Drosophila melanogaster: one gene and its partner. The protein of the gene in region 1 interacts with the protein of each later gene in a pairwise test. Each region holds a gene or a part of one and is shown on either strand. Other genes may lie near its edges. The genes, in order: CG14823 and CG34230.

Region 1 (5,930 bases):
TTTGTCCTTGGCCATGGCCAGTTGGCAGCAATTCAGCAGTTCAGCCGGTCGGTCCCCAATCAATCAAACAATCAAGCCATGTTTATCAACAGCGCTCAATATCGACAATAACTAATGAACACGAATCGCGAGTCTGAGTCGCTTCTTATCGGATTGTCTATGCCGCATATTGTCTGCTCATTTGGACTATTTCTGTTTGCAACATGCGCTATTTGCACATTTGATTGAATAAAGTTATGTACACTTGTCATGCAATCGAGAGATTAGGACTCAGGCGAGGCAGAAATCAACGTCATCGTCCTAGGGATAAACAATGCCGACTTACTTGGGCATTGATGTCGGTAAGGCTAAAATAATTAAATGTGAAATATAAAATACAGAGAAAAATATCTCGGTATTAAAACTCTGCCAACTTTATAAACATTGAAGTTGAATCATGAATTAACAAAAAGTTCTTAGATTTGTATTATAAGTATATGCAAACCTATGCCATAAGTCTCTTTATCCTGCGATTAAGAGTCCGACAAATCCTAGGTAGGCCATGATGGAAATCATAAATTTATGCATTGCGCATACGCACTGTTTGCCCGCTATCAGTCGCAACAAATTAATGCGACATGGCAGCAATTAGTCCGGCCCTGCTAAATGATTTAAAACTTGCGCCAAAACTTTTGTCTCCCCTCCGCTTGTTTGTCCGCTACATTTTGCGCAAACTTTTAATTATTACACACTTGCGAGTTGTTGTTCAATTTGTTCGCGATGCTGCCAGATTATAAAGTTTTGTCGAGTTCAATTATGTACGCCGAATCGTCGTCATTGTTTGTTCTAATTCGCTCCCATTAACTTTGTGCTCTGGACGGCCCATTTCGATGTGCAATTAGTGTGTCCATGCCGGGAATAGCGTAAATTTTTTATACGAATCTCAGAGTTACTTTGCCTCAGACGGCCTGGTGCCCAAAATCAAACTATTTTTTCTTTTGCCATGTTCGAGGCAGATATAACCATCTGGCCGTTTTTCCACTCGGAATCTGTGGATGATAGGCGAAGATATATCATAAAGGTTATTCTGGAGTTATGCGTCTTCATTGTGATAGGATTTGTTCACTGGATCCTGGTGCTAACCTTGCTGCAGTAAGATTTGGATAATAACTTTTTTACTTATGATTTATGTAATTACTACTAGCGAATGGTTTCTGGTCTTGGTAAACGAGCACTCATCTGCATTGCTCCTAGCCTTTGTATTTGGCATTTTCCTACTTTTCCTGTTTGCCCTAAGTATGCCGCTAAGGAAAATGTCCTGTGTCAACTGGCTGATTACGTTTATTATCGTGGGTATTCTAACAATTAAATTACCTAACAATGTAACCCCATAGCATATTAAGGTGGAATGTGTGGTAGTTTCTCTCAGTGTGCTGATCATATCATCGGGAGTACTTTATATGCTTGCCGGATTTCTGATTGTCAGCCTTGCATTTGTGTTATGTACACTTATAGCTGCTTTAATGGCGGTAAGCTAGTACAGATAAAGGATGTTAAATAATCAACCAAAATCTTGCCTAAGTATGACCTCACAGGCACCGGACTCTACCTATATGCCCTTGCAACTGGCACTTACTCACTGAGCATATACTCCCTGGTATTGTATGTGGTTCTCGACGTGATCTGGGGATTTTATCTCTTCGCATTCTGTATCGGCTGTGTGGTGATGATGGTAAGCATTTTTCGCATTTTACCAGCCTGCAACTGTCTGCCGCATAACCACAAATCACTTGCAGTTCCTGATGTATCATGTGCAGTGCATCATGGGCGGAAGAAGGGCCTCGACCAAGTTGTTCGATGACAAGTTCGCCGCCCTGCTGCTGTTCCACGAGTTCATAGGCCTCTTTGTGCTAACCCTCTACTGGCGGCCCATAATGCATCGCCTGCAGTTGAAACAATAAACGAACAATCGGTTTTAAGTAATCCCCCTGTATTTCAAGCAGTTTTCCAATCTCCTCTCAGACAGGCTCCCCAGTGGCTCCTGCCTGCGGCAGCCGCCGGGTCCTCTCATGTGCAGCCTCACATGATCCCGACACTCGATCCGTCCGTCTCCATTGCAATCCTCGCCACCATATCGCTGCACATAGCTACGCACAATACGCTCGGCGCACTGGACATCCACCACGCATCTTCCGTAGTCTGTGGGTTGAAGGGTGAGATGTAGGAAAAAGGGTTAGTCGGTGGACATTACACGCTTGTGGCAGCCTGGCAACAACAGGATACACATGAAGAAATTTACAACAAAATCTTGAAACTGAAGATGAAAAGCAAATTTAAAATTAATAGAGAAATGGAGAAATGGCTTATGCTTTCGACTTGTTGTAATTTTGTTGCCAAACATTTTTGCTCAGTGTATTCATTACCCCGGGCGAGTGAGTCGTCCGGGTCAATTATCCGGAGTGCGTCCTGCCAGTAGACGTGGGAGATGCGATAAATGCCGCACGGCTCCTCTGGTCGTCCTCGGTGCCTGCAGATTGCCGGAATATTATCCGTGGCAGTGGTGGCCATGCAGTCCAGGCACTTGGCACTGGGCTCTGGGGAGGATGTCGGAGGCGGCTGGAATGTTGTTATCGTCGAGGTCTGGGCATCTGCAAAATGCATTCCAAAGAGGGTCCAATTAGCCGTTTAATCGAAACTATTTACCACACAATATGGCTAACAGCATGCAGCATAGTTGGCAGTGAGTTATCCATAGTTCCCGTGGACGTAAATAGCTCCTAGACCTCACGTTTAAACCGCACTCTCCTCGTTAGTTGCAAAGTTTTTTGAGTATGTTTTATTAGCAGATTTACTGAAGCAACTTTAAACTGCACTTTTATGAACTTTAAATTGATGTAAAACATAGTTCCGACTATATTTTGGCCTTATAAGTGCAGAGGACGTTGCTAAACGAAACTTAAATTGAGTTCACATTTGGTGTTTACAAACTTCCTGTTACTTAATAAATATAAGTCTTCCGTCGGAAAAATAATTGTTTGAGACTAAAGTTTTCAAGTCGAACTTAAGGCGAATGTAGAAACTATAAATCTATATTGAATGCTGGCAAACTTTAGCAGATGTGTATTTATTATTTACAGTTTAATCTCAAACTTTTACGTGCTTGACATACTGTCGATGACTGTCACTTATTGAAATGATCGATTAAAATTTTTTATATACAATAAAAACAACTCACGCGTTGCATAGTTGTTGTGTAATAAATACAAGCTTTTATTTATTATCGCTATAATTTCGAAACGTTGAAATCTGCTGGTTCATCTAATGGCAATTCTAATCAGTCAGCTGGGAAAGAAAAAAAACAAAACAAAGAAAAAGAGAGAAAATACCACTATCCCAACAATATAAACCGCTTATAAAATTAACCGAAGTCTAAGAGCTTCTTAGCGATTGAACAAGAGTCCTTGTGGCACACTCACCCACTCCCGCAGCGGTGACCATGGGAAAGTCCTCCTCCAGGACCTCCACTTGCCCCCGATCCTTGAGATTGATGTGCAGTCGGCCCAGATGATGCTTCTGTCTTAAGTGCATGTAAATGGCGCCGATGATGAGCAGAAGGGCGATGAAAATGGCGCCCGTACTCAGGACTTGGCGAGTGCAGCAGGACCTTCGAGTCCATCGTTTCCGCTTACGACTTTCCCCGGACATTGACAGCGCTTCGGCATATTCCTGATGCTCCACCACCTTGGACTCATCCGTTTCCACATCATCCTCACTGTATTTGGCCAATTCCGCCACACTGCTGCTGCATGTGGGCTCCATGGCGAGCTGGCTTCTCCCTTTGCTATCGCAAACCGACTAACCCAAGCGAATAGCTGGAACACTCTGTGGCATTTGTACATGGTACCAAGTTACAGGTGCTGCTCGAGATAACCTCCCCTCGATTATCGCTCAATGTTGTCGGCGTAATTGATGCCCGGCGATTGCGGTTTCTACATTCCCAGCGTTTTTTTTTCCCCCGACCAGCTAATCTGTTCCAGCGTTTGTTCTCCATTCCTCCAGCATTTCGGTGATTTTTCTCTCGCATTCAAGTGGCGCTCAACATGGTGATTTTTCTCCAATTCCCGAACATCAGTAGTTGTACACCTCAACAAGTTTAAATTGCATGTGGTTTCATTCCTAAAAGTGGCACGAATTTAAACAAGTAGTGAGTTTATTTTAAAAGTACTATATTCGGCAGCATTGGCGACCAAGCCGTGCTTATTTTGCACATAATACTCAAACTAATATGATTGAAATTATTTCAGAAAGTGAATAAAAATATTATCAAAAATGTGGTATCTGCATTTAATTTTAAGCTTTGTATATTTTTAATTTCATTCTCTTATATTTCTTTGGCATTTGATTAATTATAACAGCTCTAATAAAGAACTGAATGTATGCACAATTTTTCATGGAAGCATAGTTTAATATATTTAATACATATGTTTTCGTGACATGGAACATAATTTTTTTTTTAAATTTCAGCAGTATGTAGTTTTTATTGATTTTATTACATATTCATTTGATTTTTTCACGTGTATCTTTAGATTGGGTGTCGGTGACACTCCGCTTCCATTTGCGACATGACAACTTATGGCAGCCGTCCATTGAAAGGGGGGAAATGGGTGGCGATATTTGCCAAATGGGTGGTGGTTGGGTGGCTGGTTTTGCTGATAACCTTGCGCATTTGTATGCGCGAATTGTAAACAAATATGAGAAATTGTTGAGACTCTTGCGGCGAAATTGGAACGAAAGTTGGGGCAGCAAACAACAGCAGCCGTTTGTGGCACCAGTATCCAGTGGAAGGAGCGTCATCCTTCGAGAAGGGGTGTGACCAGGACGTCCTCGAAGCCTCCTGAAGTGCCACTTCTTCATACGCAAACTTACTTCACGACCATCGAAATCTGTCAACAGCAAAGTGTGGGTGTACCCGTGCAATGCATCCTAAAATGCTGCAAATCTCTGTTTACTTCCCATTTATTTATATTATTTTTCTAGAATATCTTCGATCAAGTTTGTTTGCTATCAAGTGGGACAGCAAAGATTTTTCGAAAACTTTTCATTGAGATGAGAACAAAGTTGTTGACACCTTCCAATCACGCCTTGCATTCTTGGACTTTTGGCACTCAAACAATTTTTACAAACTGCTTCCAAAAGTGTAAATACAAAAGAATTCCATGTTTTGCGAAAATATCAAACAAATTAAAGATTTTAAGATTTTAAAATGGGAAAGAAGACTTTGAATTTATTTAAGTTGTTCATTTCCTATTTAAAGAAATATACAAGCAAATAATTTCCTTCTTTTGCCAGAGCATGCTCAAATATTCGTTAAGAATTTTTCCAAAACTATCGTCCCTTTTTTTTGGGGACGCCTCTGAACACATCCTGCACAGGTGCTCGGCAAATAAAAGAAATGCTCCGTCACTTAGTTGATTATTCTTTCAGTTTTTCTGTACAGCAGCCATTTCCACATTGCCTCGCCAATGTCGCCATTGTCTCAAGGCGTTTCCGTTTCCCATTTCGGTATGTTTTTCTTCACATACGGCCAAGGCAAAAACTCATTTGTATGTGTGGGGGTGCGTGAGGGTTTCCTGCCCCTGACTAACACATGGCCAGATGAAAGGACGAGCCAGACCGCAAGCCAAAATCAATTATGGAAAAATTACCAGTGGTTGGGCTAAATGGCCTTTATACCGTTTGGATTGGGATTGCTTTTGGGATACGAATGGGATGAGGGTGTCGCCATGCATGTGAAATAATATGCGGTGAATTCTTTTCTTGCAAATTTTCCACTCCAGTTCCTTTTGTGAGCTGGCATTTAAGACCTCGTCCTTCGGGTTTTCTCCGCGCGCGGAAAATGCACGAAAATGGGAAAGGAAAATGAAAATGAGCTGAAATCTGAACGCGAGTAC
Region 2 (3,060 bases), on another chromosome or scaffold:
TTGGAGTCCGCTGAAGTCGATGGCACCGCCGAGGTGGCCGGAGGCGCGCCTCATGAAAGCGCAGGCCCCAGCGATACGGGAGCTGCCTCGGCCAGTTCTCCGCAAAAACAGAGCGAGGCAGGGGAGAGCAGCGGAAGCGACGCCCTTAAAGCTGCTGACGATGGTGGTGATCATGCTGACGGAACAGATAACGCCAGAGAAGCAGATGAGGCATTCGCCGAGGAGACAATGGCTACTGGCCAAGGAGAAGACTCTCAGCCGCTAGGAAATGATAGTATGTTATAATAAATAGTGTAAATGGATTGGAAAACTAAGCACTCAATTTTATCCAGATCCAAATGTGGGCACTAGCCAATCGGAGGTGTCCCACAACCAAGCCAATCTTGGCGAGGGAAACCCCACCGAGGACAGCGAGGGAGCCGACGGCGTCTCCTCCGAGGGTGAAAAGCAGGCGGTGGGTGTTGAGGTAAGTAGTACTTGCATTGGTGGCAAGATAGCTGTGGAGAAAAGCAGGTTGGTCCCGATGAGACCCTGCATGGAAATACGTTGCTTTGAATGTAATTAACCCCATGGGATATGATTTGTAGTTCACCCCACTTATGGAGTGCATGGAATATTAAATACTGAAGAATGGATGTAATGTTTCTGTTGTAATCCAAACCAAGACCAATCTGCACCAACTGAATCCTAAATTGATTGCTCTCCATTTCTTTTTAGGAGGAGGGTCGGGAGGCGGAGGCCACTTCACCGTCGGAGAACACGCGATTTCGCACGCTGCGTAGTGCGGTGCCCACCCGACGAGGACATCGCGCCATGAGGGGTGGCAGTCCCAACAGCCAGAACCGTCCGCAGCGGATTGTCTGGCAACGGGACACGTCGCCGGGAAACATTCAGCAAAACCAGATGTCAGCCAATAACAATCGCTTTGCGCAACGGACCCGCAACCGTCGTCCCATTCGTCGTCCGCCTCCAAACAACTTCAACAACGGAGGACGATTCCCCTAGGGCGAGGAGTTCGGCGGACCCGCAGACGAAAGTCCGCTGTAGGCTGACTATAAAATCATTGCGTTTACTGGGCTAGAAATAAGTCTCCTCGCATTTAAAAGCGCTTAGGCTAGGATGAGCCACAAATACATATTACTCTACATTCTCCAGCTTGCGAGTCCTGAGTTTCTGCAGTTGACAAGATGCAAAGAGCTTTGGTTCTTGTACATTAACTTTGCTATAGAGTTTTTAATAAATATATGTGTAATTTTGTCGATATTTGATGCACCTTTCTGGGCAAGGATTTCAAACTGCTGTTACCCCAGCACTACAAAGTGGTTTACTCCCTGAATAAGTTGCCTCATTCTAGTAGTGTTATAACGCATTAAGATGTAGTTTTCCCCTCTTTAAACCATATTTCTTAGACTTTAAAGTATTTTAAAGAATTTCCACTAATGTTTTTGATATTCAAATGAATGTAAAAGATAATAATATTACAGTATTTAAACAAATCAATTAATTTAGTTTGATAACGTGTTCGATTAAAATCGCACTAGTTCTAATGTGAAATATAGACCACCGATTGCACTGCACTTTGGTGGCATTGACCTTAATTGGTCTAAGCTACGCAAGCCGATTAATTATGCAGCAAGCATTGGAACATGAAACGTGCTCCGAATTAAAGACTTCATCATAATTACCTGCTATTGTAAGTCAGTTGGCCAGGCAGTTCGTATCCGAAATTGGCTTAGAAACCCCCCAAAAAGAAACGAAAATGATCTACTCGGACAATTGCTGTTGCTGCGTGGATCTGAAGTGCGGAAGCATCCTGATAGCCATCGTTGAGGTGCTAATACGTGGACTAGATCGCTTCTTTGTTGATCGTGAGTGGTCCTGAGCATAGGAATAGCTAAGATATAACTGGCTTTCTTAGGTGACAGCCTGCTGGGACTTTTTTCCCTTGTGGTGAGCGGTATCTACGTTATCTGCTGCATTTTTCTACTGCTGGGAGCAGTTCTGGTAGGGATCCGTAATATTTTGGTTGGTGGACAATATAAAGCTGTCTAATTACAGGGCCTGAGATATTTTCTGTTGCCTTACCTCTCAGTTTCCTGCCTGCGGTTCTTCATTTTAGTTGCCGAGGGCGTGTTTGTAGCCACAGAGGGCATCATGAATGAATATCTAGTTTTCGATATTCTTCAATCCCGTAAGTTGCATTCAATATTTCGGCACAATGTTCAACTTGGCCAAATCCTTTTCCAGTTCTAGGCTTGTACTTTTGGCTGGTGGTCTACTCCTATTATGATCGCTTAAAGGACGCGTGAGCTTGTAAATTTTACAGTATATTGTTAAATATTGGTCCTTATAAAATTTATTCTTTCAATGTTCTATCATTTTGGATATAAAATAAAGTAATTTATAACCTTTTTTGGCAAACATATAGTATATTTGGAAATTATCTAACCATAATATCTTCAATTTCCGGTCAATTTTTACTTTCTTTTTCTGCAACATCTTGCAATAATGATAAATATTTTTAACGCTTTACATACATTTTTAACAATTTTAAGGGAAATCCATGTTGTAATCCATTGTTCAATGCGCTTTTGCAATCTTGACCTAAGTAACCAAATAAACAAATTGAAAGTTGAATATTGTATTCGACGTTAATAACGAGTAATGCATAATTGAGCAATATAAATTATTGCTTTCCCAATTATCGGTACCCAATAACTTGCGCAGTAACCTCATTTGTATTCAATGCGTGCTCCTGGTAAATAAAAAAAATATCGAGTGCCTTTGTTAAGATGCACTGATTGATGATCGTATCTCAAGATTTCTGGATCCGCAACGAATGGAGCGCTCATGACTTCAAGGTAGTAATATGAAATACTGTAACCGCTATAATAATTTTTTCATCAATATCCCAAGGACTTTAAGATCCGGCTGATTTTGCTTTCTCTAAACTCTCTTTAATGGCAGCGATCATAAATAATATTTACATTCATGGGCTGTAGACCTAGACGACACTACAAACTAGAACTGCTCGACGGTGCGGGGGGCAGGTGGTGCTCC

The links.
Region 2: the proteins of CG14823 (region 1) and CG34230 interact in a two-hybrid assay, tested with the Drosophila melanogaster proteins (one large-scale study listed by BioGRID).

What each region holds. Positions count from the first base shown.
Region 1 is NT_037436.4:7,064,252-7,070,181, reverse strand, and holds CG14823 (uncharacterized protein), read right to left. Parts: upstream 3,869-5,930; 5' UTR 3,799-3,868; coding exon 3,456-3,798; coding exon of another isoform or gene 3,409-3,455; exon of another isoform or gene 3,322-3,408; coding exon of another isoform or gene 3,314-3,321; exon of another isoform or gene 3,215-3,313; intron 2,628-3,214; coding exon 2,403-2,627; intron 2,179-2,402; coding exon 1,955-2,178; 3' UTR 1,941-1,954; coding exon of another isoform or gene 1,776-1,940; 3' UTR 1,712-1,775; coding exon of another isoform or gene 1,562-1,711; 3' UTR 1,509-1,561; coding exon of another isoform or gene 1,383-1,508; 3' UTR 1,329-1,382; coding exon of another isoform or gene 1,184-1,328; 3' UTR 1,132-1,183; coding exon of another isoform or gene 983-1,131; 3' UTR 719-982; downstream 1-718. Other genes in the region: CG32391 (uncharacterized protein), read left to right, coding at 983-1,131, 1,184-1,328, 1,383-1,508, 1,562-1,711, 1,776-1,940.
Region 2 is NT_033778.4:11,859,598-11,862,657, forward strand, and holds CG34230 (uncharacterized protein), read left to right. Parts: upstream 1-1,712; 5' UTR 1,713-1,759; coding exon 1,760-1,868; intron 1,869-1,918; coding exon 1,919-2,004; intron 2,005-2,058; coding exon 2,059-2,191; intron 2,192-2,247; coding exon 2,248-2,309; 3' UTR 2,310-2,418; downstream 2,419-3,060. Other genes in the region: Mgtor (megator), read left to right, coding at 1-274, 333-466, 718-1,005; Twdlbeta (tweedlebeta), read right to left, coding at 3,022-3,060.